2 linked regions of the Schizosaccharomyces pombe genome follow. The gene in region 2 interacts genetically with the main gene of each other region. Each region holds a gene or a part of one and is shown on either strand. Other genes may lie near its edges.

Region 1 (7,969 bases), on a different chromosome or scaffold from region 2:
TATTATTCAAAAGGATCCTGAAAATAAAAAGGCGAAAATCGGTTTGCTTAACAGCATGCTGCAATCGGGGCATTATGAATCTCTTGTTTTGAGTTTAGATTCTTTTATAATCAATGACAACCACGAGTATTCGAAGATGTTAAATTTGGGTATTGAAGCTTCATGGCGTTCGCTATCTATTGATTCGTTAAAAAAGTGTCTTTCAAAAAGCAACTTGGAATCTTTCGAAGCTAAATTGGGTAGCATATTTTACCAATACCTACGGAAGGATTCTTTTGCTGAATTGACGGAGCGGCTGCAACCCTTGTACGTTGATGCTGCTACAGCAATTGCAAACACAGGCGCCCATTCAGCCTATGATTGTTATGATATTTTATCTAAGCTGCACGCAATTAATGACTTTAGTAGGATTGCTGAAACTGACGGAATTGTTTCCGACAATCTTGATATTGTTCTTCGCCGTCGGCTTAGCCAAGTAGCTCCGTACGGTAAATTCAAGCACCAAATCCTGTCCACTCACTTAGTTGGCTATGAAAAATTTGAAAACACGAAGAAAACTGCTGAAATATATCTCGAGATTGCAAGAATATCTCGAAAAAATGGTCAATTTCAAAGAGCCTTCAATGCCATCCTCAAAGCAATGGATTTAGATAAACCGCTAGCAACAATAGAGCACGCACAATGGTGGTGGCATCAAGGGCAACATCGTAAAGCTATTTCTGAATTGAATTTTTCGCTTAATAACAACATGTTTGATTTGGTTGATGAGCATGAAGAAAGACCTAAAAATCGTAAAGAAACTTTAGGAAATCCACTTAAAGGAAAAGTGTTCTTGAAACTTACAAAATGGCTCGGAAAAGCTGGCCAACTGGGATTGAAGGATTTGGAGACGTATTATCATAAAGCGGTAGAGATTTACTCAGAATGTGAGAATACGCATTATTATCTTGGCCATCATCGAGTTTTAATGTATGAAGAAGAACAAAAGCTCCCAGTTAATGAACAGAGCGAACGATTTTTAAGTGGTGAGTTAGTAACTCGCATAATTAACGAATTTGGTCGATCTTTGTACTATGGTACAAATCATATATATGAAAGTATGCCAAAATTGCTCACACTGTGGCTTGATTTTGGGGCCGAAGAACTTCGCTTATCTAAAGATGACGGCGAAAAGTACTTTCGTGAACACATTATCTCTTCGAGAAAAAAATCTTTGGAACTTATGAATTCGAATGTTTGTCGCCTTTCTATGAAAATTCCTCAATACTTTTTTCTGGTTGCATTATCCCAAATGATATCCAGAGTATGCCATCCAAATAATAAAGTTTATAAAATTTTGGAACATATAATTGCAAACGTTGTAGCATCTTATCCTGGGGAGACGCTATGGCAATTAATGGCAACAATAAAATCGACTTCTCAAAAGCGCTCGCTTCGTGGAAAAAGCATTTTAAATGTTTTACATTCTAGGAAGCTTTCTATGTCTTCCAAAGTTGATATAAAAGCACTCAGTCAATCTGCAATTCTCATTACTGAAAAGTTAATCAATTTGTGCAATACAAGGATTAACAGTAAATCTGTAAAAATGAGCTTAAAGGATCATTTTCGGCTTTCTTTTGATGATCCGGTAGATTTAGTCATTCCTGCTAAATCATTTTTAGACATTACTTTACCAGCTAAAGATGCTAACAGAGCTAGTCATTATCCATTTCCAAAAACTCAGCCTACTCTGTTGAAATTTGAGGATGAGGTGGATATAATGAACTCTCTTCAAAAACCAAGAAAAGTGTACGTTAGAGGTACGGATGGCAACTTATACCCATTCTTGTGCAAACCCAAAGATGATCTTCGTAAGGATGCTAGATTGATGGAATTTAATAATCTTATTTGTAAAATATTGAGGAAAGATCAAGAAGCGAACAGAAGGAACTTGTGTATTAGAACTTATGTTGTTATTCCTTTAAATGAAGAATGCGGATTTATCGAATGGGTAAATCATACTCGTCCATTTAGAGAAATTTTGTTAAAAAGCTATAGACAGAAAAACATTCCCATATCATATCAAGAAATCAAAGTTGATTTAGACTTTGCACTGCGAAGTCCTAACCCTGGTGATATATTTGAAAAGAAAATCTTACCGAAATTTCCTCCAGTTTTTTATGAGTGGTTTGTTGAATCTTTCCCAGAACCAAATAATTGGGTTACTAGTAGACAAAACTATTGCCGAACTTTAGCAGTAATGTCAATAGTTGGCTACGTTTTGGGTTTGGGAGATCGCCATGGCGAAAACATATTGTTTGATGAATTTACAGGTGAAGCTATCCATGTCGATTTCAACTGTCTTTTTGATAAAGGTCTTACTTTTGAAAAACCTGAAAAGGTGCCGTTCAGATTAACTCATAATATGGTAGATGCAATGGGTCCGACAGGTTATGAAGGGGGTTTCAGGAAAGCTAGCGAAATAACGATGCGGCTTCTTCGCTCAAACCAAGATACATTGATGAGCGTACTAGAGTCTTTCCTACATGATCCTTTAGTCGAGTGGAATAGAAAGAAGTCGTCAAGCAAGTACCCGAATAATGAAGCAAATGAAGTTTTGGATATAATTCGCAAAAAATTTCAAGGCTTTATGCCAGGGGAGACGATACCTTTATCTATTGAAGGGCAAATTCAAGAATTGATCAAATCTGCTGTCAACCCAAAAAACCTGGTAGAAATGTACATTGGTTGGGCTGCTTATTTCTAGCATTTTACTAACAAAAATTTCAATGAACAAGCTACCCATTATTAAACTTATGATTTGAATCGAAGATATTTTATTTATTAATCCGATGAAGAATTCTCGCTGAGTTGTTCAATTTCTTGTAATTTTCCTTCCATTTCTAAATCGTCGATTCGCTTAAATAGGGCACTGGCTTTTTGTGCATTTTTCTCTCGTAAAGCAGCTTCTGATTGAAAAAAAGCTATATCTGTTTCTGAGTCATCATCCGAATCAACAATATATTTTGCAGATCGTAAATGGTTTTCCTTTTTCTTTCGAGTTGTATGGTCAATAATAGTTTCGTTAGTTTTCATCTTTTTACGTTTTCTGTCAGTAATCTTATTTAACGCTTCTCGACGATTGGCGAAAGTTATAGGATCATCTGCTTCAAATTCAATTTCTTCGTCAGATGTTTCACCCTCACTACTTGATGGTAAACGAACATTTCCTCTTTGCTTCCTCACTAATAAATCTTCGGGCTTGGTGCCTTCAAACGTCGGCGGATCATCAGTAAACCTTCTCAACAACATGGCATGCTCAACAAGTTCATCAATTATAACAGAATTTGGTAATTTCCATAGTGCTTGAACGTCTATATTGTTATCTGATTCTTCGAATCCACATAATTCTAATAATAGACGAAATTTTCCGTCTTTCAAAAGGGCCGTATTAAATGAATCTGTGTCTCCTTTCAAATTCTTCCCCATTCTTTCACCATCATTTCCACCTTCATTTATATATTTGTTCTCGTCAGCTAGCGTTATTAGCTTTCTTTCTGAAATGAGGCAATTAAGTTGAACTTTCAATTCATCTAATAAATCACTTTTGTTTTCATTTATAAGGCATGCAACAACGGCAGCCACCTTTTCCAAATGTGATAAGCCAGGCACCGTCTCGTATAACGGGCCTTTTCTCGAACCATGAATAGAGAAAAGTGGACTTTTTCCATATTCCAGATAATAAAATGTGTCGGTTAATTTTGGGAAAGGCAACTCAATAAAAAGTGCTGGTACATCTTTTAATGCATCTGAAAGCTTTCGCATATAATATACAAAAAATTGTTCAAAATCCTGTCTTGCTGAATTTGTAGTAGAAAAATAGACATGGTCATTAAACATTTTGTCCAGAACACGTAGGAAATCGAGACGATACAAATAAACATGGCATTTTTGCTTCACGAAAATGCGGTAAAAAAAGGAAATAGCCCTATGAATTTGTTTTGAATCCAGATCTTGGTAACATTGAAGGAACAGCACGAAACTATCAATACATCCATTATCACAGTACCTAGACTCATATCTGCCGAAATCAAACAGACGGTCCTCAACGGCTGCATTAGCATTAATCAAGCTGCTTTCTTCATCTTCATCCGATTCCAAGACATTGCTATCAACAGATTTCTGATTTCTCCTTCTCTTTTTCACATAGAGATATTGTTTAGCACTGCTAAATTTCTCAAGCTCCTTTAATAGCACTATAGTTAGCTCAGTTATTGCATCTAAATACCCAAAGGACTGAGTTTTAAAATGCTTTAAAGCGCTATAAACAAGTAAAAGAATTTCCTCTTGGTAAAAGATATTGCTTAGTAGATTATCGGCAATTCTTTGGTAAATTTCTGAGGAACAAAGTGTCATACTTCGAAGAGTGAAAAGTAATTGAGTCATCGAAAGCATGGATGCTTGGAAGGTGCTCCATTGTTTCATTTCAAAGGATTCTACCATTAACCTGTTGTGCATAATCAAAGCTCGTTGGTCAAAAACGGAGGCTGCTAAGCCAAAACTATAATCATTAGAGTAAATTTCTTCTGTTTTTTTTGGTTTAGACGAAAATCTCATGAATTCCAAAAAAAATGACTGAACGTATAATAATTGCATTTTATGAATTGGAAGCACACGAGGATCTTCTCTTTCCAAGTCTTTTAAGAGAGACTGAAATAATGGATTGAATCCAGCTTCCAAAAATTCGACAGCAAAGTTCCTTAATGCAGTACCTGCCTCGGTATTGATAAAGAACGATTTGTTTATGTCATCCTAATATTGTTAGAATAGAATAGTTGAATTGGAAAAAAAAATTTAAACAAACATCGTGTTTAACTAAGTACATACAAAATGTTTTCGACGTGTTCCTCGTTTTCGAAAACGCTTATGAGAGTCAAGCTCATCAAGGCCGTCGGTTTTTATATTTTGGCTAGCAATAGTAAATCTTCTGTCTTCAGTTTGAACAGAAAGCATGGTTCCAAATCTATTATGCCTCGTATGTGCATTTCGTTTCAAATAGCGATTTTGGGTCGACTCTTTGAGGAGTAAGCTATTAAGTTCGGTTTGAGAGTTAGTCAATGAGGCATCAGAGAAAAGGGCTGATGGCTTACAACCTCTGATCAAGTTGTAGACTATTTCTAATATGTAAACATCAAAATGCTCAAATTCATCGAGATTCGAGACCAGTGTGACAATCAAATCTAATATATGAGCTTTCGCAAACGAGATAATTGTTTCATTTTTTGTTTTTAATTCATCGATTTGAAGAATGTTTCGAAATAGTAACAGCACTATCCTGATTATTCCCTTGTCTCTAAGTGTTCTGGATTCTGCGGGAGTACTTAAGGGCTTTAGTAAAACAGCTAAAATGGCGGATAAAACGCTCCCCTTCTTGTAAGATAAAATTGAATTTTTATAATTTGATTGAGCTTGACGCAGATTATAGAGAACATCAACATTTTCTCTGAATGTTTCATGCTCAGTCTCCAAAGGCCATGTTAATGGTACAAGAAGCTCAACACAAGCTAAAGCGATACGCCAGTTTCTGTAATTAGTAATGTCTTTATCCCAGTCAGAGAGTATTGGACATATATCATTAGTTACCAACTGTAAGCTCGAGAGCAAAGATCGAATTTGCCAAACTTTGTACTTTTCATCGACTACTTGAAGATAGCGCTTCAGATCCTTTAGGCAAGCCAAAGCTTCATCACCAAGAACGTACACTTTTTCATCGTCTGAATAGTCAAATCCTCCAATGGCAGAAACAATGCCTTGAATCACCTCATCTAATTCCATTCAAGTTGATTTGTTAAATCAAAAGCTCTCAAGTTCCTTTTTTTTGTATTGTCGGTATGCGTCGATAAATAAACCAAATTTAAGAAATTAAATAAATTTTAATAATTAAGCGATATTAATTATGTTCATGAATAATCGTATTCTTTTAAGATAAGTAAATTTGATTGTAGATACGTGAAGAGGGGTGGTGACAGTAAACAATGAATAATAAATTTTTAAAACAATATTTAACTTTTCAAAATAACTTGGATTTTTAAAAAAATGTGTGTAAAGTAAAACACTTTATAATTTAAATCGCATTAAAATGGCATTCAGTATTATATTATAAAATTCGATAATATGGACTCAACAAAACGAATTTGCTACCTAACTTGTACAATGCATAATTAGAATTTAGTTTCAATAATTTTCACAATTTCAGATGTAGAAATTTAGAGTTTATTATTTTCAGAATGATTAAGCAGCAAATCTTTAATAACAATATAAAGAGATGCATTCTCTACTACAAAATTCTAAAAATTCTGCGTCAAATTCAACATTTCCTCTATTTTGTAAAATTGTAAAACAACGTAATAAATTGTTACAGGACTCATTCATAAAGACTATTTACACTTTATTTAATATAGAATATATATATGATGCGGCAGAAAAGCAATTTGAACGTTTGGGACTGTCACCTACCAGAAACTACACCAGCCAATATAGCACAAGCATAGGTTCTCTATAGAGGTTGCTTGTAAAATCAGCTTCTCTACTTGACTTGGTACATCCAATTGCTGTTGGGGTTTGAAATCCCGACCAGTAAGTTTATTGGACACACGATTAAGAACGGTTATAGCTCTTTGATTGAGTATCTCGGGTTTTTGACGTTCTTCAAGTGTAATTCCTTCTTCGTTTAAGCGTTTCCGGTGTAAACCATCAATTGTCTCACCGAGAAGTGTATTAGGTTCGTTAGATTGCTTTTCATCGATAGAAGGTGAATATGCAGGAGCAAGGCGCCAGTTAATAAGAGGATCGTAAACGAAAGCTTCTAAAACTGCCATCACAGACTCCTTATTAGTACGAAGAACTCGCATAACATGTTCGCATGTTATCCGGAACGTCCCCTCTATACCACTAACTTCCATTGCGTTAACAAGCATTCGCGTAAGGCGGAAAGGAATCTTCTCGGGAAACTTTTCTCGATGCATTGCTACTTCAAAACAATCTCCAAAATCGATATGGATGATATTACCTGTATACCTGTCCAGCATCAAATTGGAAGGATGACGATCGCCCAAACCTAAGATGTACCCTACCATTGACATCACCGCAAGAGTACGAGAATAGTTAGTTCGCCTATTAAGCCAAGCTTCTGAGCTACGACTCTTCAGCCATAAAACGCGGTATAAATCCTGCCCCGTAGTACTAAGTAGGGCATATTCAAAGACTTCAACTTTCTGAAGGAGAGTGAGACGATCGTAATCTGGAGCCATCTGAATGATCAACCTATGTTCTATGTTGAGTAAAATCTTTCTGCTTTCTCTGTAGTCACGAATTAAGACATGCAAAGTATCGCTATCCAAAACCCAGCCTAAAAGGCCTGAATCCGGTGATAAAGGAATCACTGGATACCTTTGGATTGAAAGTAAGCGCTTAAAAGTTTCCGGGTCAGCTAGTAACAGATTGTTACAAAGCCCAAATAGCTGCATAACACGTTCATCTTGTCTGATGTCCTCGTGACCCTTTAAAACATATTGATAATCTTTTCCATCACTGCCTTTAATACTCAGTCGTCTCGGACGTTGCTTAGATGTTATCACGTTGAATGTAGGGTAAAACTTTACAATTCTTATAACAGGTTTCCCGCTAACGTATGTTCCCGGAACAGCTAACTCAAGATCATGTACATGTAAGAGTTTAGGAGAAACGTATTGTAAATCTAATGTTGTCAACTGAGGTAGCTGTTTACGAATTTTCTTGAAAACTTGGTAATATAAGTCCCAGGCCTGATTTAAGTCTGATATATCACCAGTTTGCTCAAAACGGATACAACAATCCCTTGCTTCGACTAAGTCACGTCCAAAGGCTTGTTGGAAAGAAATTTCACGAAGCGTTTCCGGACCACGTTCCAACATTTCATGCAATGGTCTCAACACGGCAAACATACCCTCAA
Region 2 (4,809 bases):
TAGAAATATTAAATGTGCAAGCAGCAGAAAGATTGTAATGTTAAAGTGGAAAAGAGCCAAGTAGAGATATTGTAGAGGATACGATGTGTTTGATAGGGCGGAATTTTGTATATACTGTTTTTTCAGGTAGAATACAGGGAAAATGCTGAAGCGACGTTTGCAGTGTTGAAGAGATGACAAATACAAGACCTTTACAAAATGCATTCTAGTTTGATTTTTTTTTTTTTTTATAAAGTGAATTTTTTCAAGATTTTATTTTCCTAATTTTATTTTCCTAATTTTATTTTTTATATTTTTAATTATCAATTTTATTTTTATTTTATTTTTTTTATTTTCTATTTATTTTTTTATTTTGCATTGCTCATTCTTTCACCCAGAGTAATCACTAAATTAGTCTTTGTTTACAACAATTTGAACAAACAAGTAAATAAATGAAAATAATATTGTTGTCAGACAAAAAACAAGTTAAAATTAAATAAATAGAAAACTTGTGGCTCATTTGATTCTTAGTTATTCTTTGTTTACCTGCGAATTGTTTTTTATTACAATACCCAACAAGTGTTTTCATGTAAATCATTTCACACTCTGTATATTTTACTTTACATATATATATGTGTGCGAGTTGAATCATTTAGTTTCTATCAAAACTCTTTCTACTGCTCTCCCTCTAGATTCTTAATCGGTTTACTGACTCTTTCCAAGTTCTTAATTTTTTACTGCACTTTTTTTATAGTCTTATTTATTTTTAGTATACTCTTTCTAAAGCCTTATTCGGGTTACTGCCTCTCTATGTCGTCTTTTACTGTCTCTCCCTCTACATCCCTATTCATTTACTGCACTCCTTCCTACTCTCTTTTTCGTTTGCTTCCCCCTCCAAGTTTTGTTTCGTTGCAACAAGGTAGAAACAATTCGAATGGTACCAACAATTCTAGCAATCCATACAGACTCAACACCATACATTTCAAGGGTCGACCTCAGATTACTCAATGAAACTCTTGAAAATCAGAATGATCAACCAATATTCATAAATGCTTACAGCAACTTTTGTCGATTGCTAGCAATGATGCATTTAGGTGAAACAAAGTGTGGTCTAACAATGTTTAAATAAAAGAAAAGAAAGGAAAGAAAAGAAAGAAAAAAATAAAAAAAATACTTGATCTTGATTGTATTTTTATTTTCTTTTCTTTTATTTATTCTATTATTTCTCTTTCTTTTTCTCTGCTATAAAAGTGGCGACCATACTGCAATCGAATGAATGTCCACACTGCAAAAAGTGTATGGAAGAAAGCCCTAGAGTAGAAAAGGAAAGAGAAAAGCGCACAATAAGGAATGTTAAGAATAAGAAAAAAAAAGTTTCAACATACTTTATTTTAATTATTATACTGTGGTTTATTTCCTTATTCCAATTACAACAATGTAATTTACATGCTTATTCTAATTACTACAAAGTGATTTTTATCCTTATTCTAATTACTACACTTGATTCACTTCCTTATTCCAATTACAACGCTATGATTCATCTCCTTATCTCCTCTAATACCCTCCCTCTCCCTCCTTGCTTTACTCTGCGGGCATCCCTCTTCCCCCCCTTCATCACTCCCCTAACCCACTGGAACGTTGGGTTTGTTCGTTTGTGCAATCTTTTCTTATCTTCACATTTCCACCCACTCTTCCATCTCACTAATTCCGCTCCTGGGAGCCGGCAAATCAGCACCTCCTTATCCAATAATACGCAATCCACATGACGCCACCATCGTTGCTAGTCTTTCCATTCTCATCGCTATCGCACGTTCCAGATGTGGCGCCCCTCCTTATTCCTCGCTTTCATTGGCTCTCTCCCCATCCCTCGTTGTGACCGTTTACCAGCGATACCGTATGTCATCATTACCGACCGTGCCTGCGTTTTGGTGGCACTCGATCTTATTTACCTCGCTGCGCATCCCAACGAACGCTTTACCAACACCTCCAACACACTCTCCATCGTATTGCAGTGTCGTGTAGGACTTGCCTTCGTTCAGATCCTTAAATAATTTCATTCAAAATCGGTTTGCATTGCTTTCCTCTGTTTTGCTTTGCCCTGCCTTTGTTGGAAAACCTCTCTTACCTCTTCTACTTGTGTTGACTCACCAGTCAGATCAGCTTGGCTCTACTTGTCTACGACTGGAAGCGTCTTTTCACCTCTACTACAAACTTCTATTCTACTATATACTCTTCTCCTGTTTTGCTTTGCTTTGTTTTCTTTTGCTTAGCTTAGCTTAACTTGACTCGACTCGACTCTGTTTTTTTACCTTGCTTTTATACTGTTCGTCTAGTACATAGTATACTTACTATCTTGTTAGTTCCTCCTATACGATTCGATTGCTTTTCCATCTCGTCTCGTTTTTCTCCTCCTCTCACTTAGCTTTTCTTCTATAAAAGGTCGATTTTCATCCTTCTCCTTTTATATCCAAAGCAAAAGCTTTCTGCGACAACTTTTCCTTTCCTTTCCTTTTCTCTTTTTTTTTTTTAACTATACACCACTCTTCCCCTAGCGGCAATTTGGATTTCGGACAATCGAATCCAAATTCCACCTATAAATTATTCAAGACGGATCCCCTATTTTCTATGGAAGCTCCCAAGATGGAACTGAAGAGCTATAAACGAAAGAATGCTTCGTTATCTCCCAGTTCCTCTCCCGCCAAGGCACAGCGTACTCACTTGTCCTTGGAGGAAAAAATCAAGCTCATGCGCTTAGTCGTGCGTCACAAGCACGAACTCGTCGACCGTAAAACTAGTGAGTTTTACGCCAAGATCGCCCGTATCGGTTATGAGGACGAGGGCCTCGCTATTCATACCGAGTCCGCCTGTCGCAATCAAATCATCTCCATCATGCGCGTCTACGAACAGCGTTTGGCCCATCGTCAACCCGGCATGAAGACCACTCCCGAAGAGGATGAGCTCGACCAACTTTGCGATGAATGGAAGGCCCGTCTCAGCGAGCTCCAACAGTATCGCGAAAAATTCTTGGTTGGCAAGCGCAAGTGTGATTGCAATGATGAAATTAATGAACGTCTCAAGAAGCTCACTGAAGAGCAACAAAACGTCGACATGCTTGTCGCCAAGGTCAACTTTCTCTCCAAACATCTTCACGATAATGAGGAAAAATTAATGCAGGTAAATGCTAAAATGGATGAAGTTCTTGCCGAAAATAAGCGCCTTCAACAACTTCTCGATCATAACGATTTGTTGTCCAAGCTCGAGCCTCCCTCTGCTTACGCTCCCCATGGCGTTAACATGGGCACTAATATGGGTGCCAACATGGGCGCTAATATGAATGCCATTCGTGGCGGTCTCCATTCTAGCATCTCTCCTAATCTTGGTGACCATTAATCCCAACTTTTCCGCCCATCCTCCTCCTACCTGTGAACACACAACCTCTTTTCTTCGAGAATTTCGTTCTCAATCCTTGTTTAACTTATGTTGAGCGGTTGAATATAAATTTTTTTTCTTCTTTACTTTTGACTGACGGTCTGCTTGATGTAAATATCTTTCATTTCTCCCTCTTCCTAGTTGTGTGCAAGGCGAATCATTCGGTAAAGCTGGTTACTTCCTTCCTCGTAGGTATCTTTGCCCCTTTCCAAATAAAAAGGCAACGAAGCCTTTCTGTATGTGCGCTAGTTGGGTTGCTTCTATTTTCTCCGCATTTTCTTGTCTCTTCCGTTATTAAACTAATATTGATTTTTTTTTCTTTCAATCCGGACATATTAAATTCTTTGTTTTTTTTTATTTTTTGTCCTCCTTCAAACAGTTTCGGTGATTGCTTTGTTTTCGCTTTCCACCGCTATTTGCCTTTGCCCTCTTTCCCTTTCGCACTAATTCGTTGTCCTTTTTGCTTTCGTGCTTTATCCCAATTTCGTACGACTATCGTTCTTCCCTTCAAACAAGCTTGAAACAGGTACTGTCATATGTTTTGCAAGCAATCCTCCTTGCACTTTCGGTTGAAGCTTGACGAAAGCCCAATGGTCCCACCCATGCTTTGCTTGTAACGTCACATCATGGTTATCTCTTATTTAGAATAGTTTTTTCCCTTAAATTGGTTTCAGTAGTGTTGGCCATTAGTCGGCCTACTCAATTGAGTTAATGTACAATTAATACAATTTTAAGCGACAGAAATCTATGTATCGTAGCAATCGATAGTTCATGTGCAAGTGGAACAAATATTGAGACATCGTAGTACTCGTGTAAAACAAACAGTCTTGTTAAACGGGAGCTCCTCATAAATGGGATCATCATCCACCACAACAAAAGCTTTGCCGGCCATTTCATACGAAGTGATTGAAATATGGTGAATAGCTAGTTACTATACTTCAGGTGACCAAACAGTGTACTTTTGAATTTCCCTTGTAAAAAAATTTCAAGTCCAAAAATGGCCCCAATACGGAAACAAATTTAAACTGTATTACTTCTATGTGTTAGTTATTCCGTTTGTGCCAACGAATTTAGACCAAACATTGTCGACCGTAACATTTTTAACCACCGTGCCATTACCATCGGGGCCCTTTTCTATCATACAGAGGCTTGTAATACCGCATTTGTCCAGATACGACTTGGCCAAATGATAATTCAAGCCAACTTGATGTGGTCCATGACTATCGTCAGATAAAGTGAGTTGCGCTCCTTGTTCAACCATCAGCTCAAGAAGTCGTTGCTGAGGATACGCAGTCTTCCATCCTTTGCGAAATGCAGAGGTGTTAATTTCAAAGATACCACCATAAGAAACAGCGTATTTAATGTTTCGTTGTATAAGTTCCCAAACACTTTTCGAGTTCT

The links. Genes that interact genetically often act in the same process or in processes that back each other up.
Region 1: of sap1 (region 2) and swi1, extra expression of one rescues a mutant of the other (dosage rescue), as found in Schizosaccharomyces pombe (one study listed by BioGRID).

Annotation. Positions count from the first base shown.
Region 1 is NC_003423.3:908,780-916,748, forward strand, and holds the start of swi1 (replication fork protection complex subunit Swi1), read right to left. Parts: upstream 6,001-7,969; 5' UTR 5,815-6,000; coding exon 4,867-5,814; intron 4,851-4,866; exon of another isoform or gene 4,792-4,850; coding exon 2,824-4,791; 3' UTR 2,747-2,823; coding exon of another isoform or gene 1-2,746. Other genes in the region: ATR checkpoint kinase Rad3, read left to right, coding at 1-2,746; TORC1 serine/threonine protein kinase Tor2, read right to left, coding at 6,492-7,969. UniProt on the Schizosaccharomyces pombe protein: Forms a fork protection complex (FPC) with swi3. FPC coordinates leading and lagging strand synthesis and moves with the replication fork. It is required for programmed fork-pausing which is necessary for mating-type switching.
Region 2 is NC_003421.2:560,913-565,721, reverse strand, and holds sap1 (switch-activating protein Sap1), read left to right. Parts: upstream 1-1,955; 5' UTR 1,956-2,604; coding exon 2,605-3,369; 3' UTR 3,370-4,146; downstream 4,147-4,809. Other genes in the region: SPOM_SPCC1672.01 (histidinol-phosphatase), read right to left, coding at 4,445-4,809. UniProt on the Schizosaccharomyces pombe protein: Binds to sequences required for mating-type switching. Makes a simultaneous contact with both the alpha and beta domains of the switch-activating site SAS1.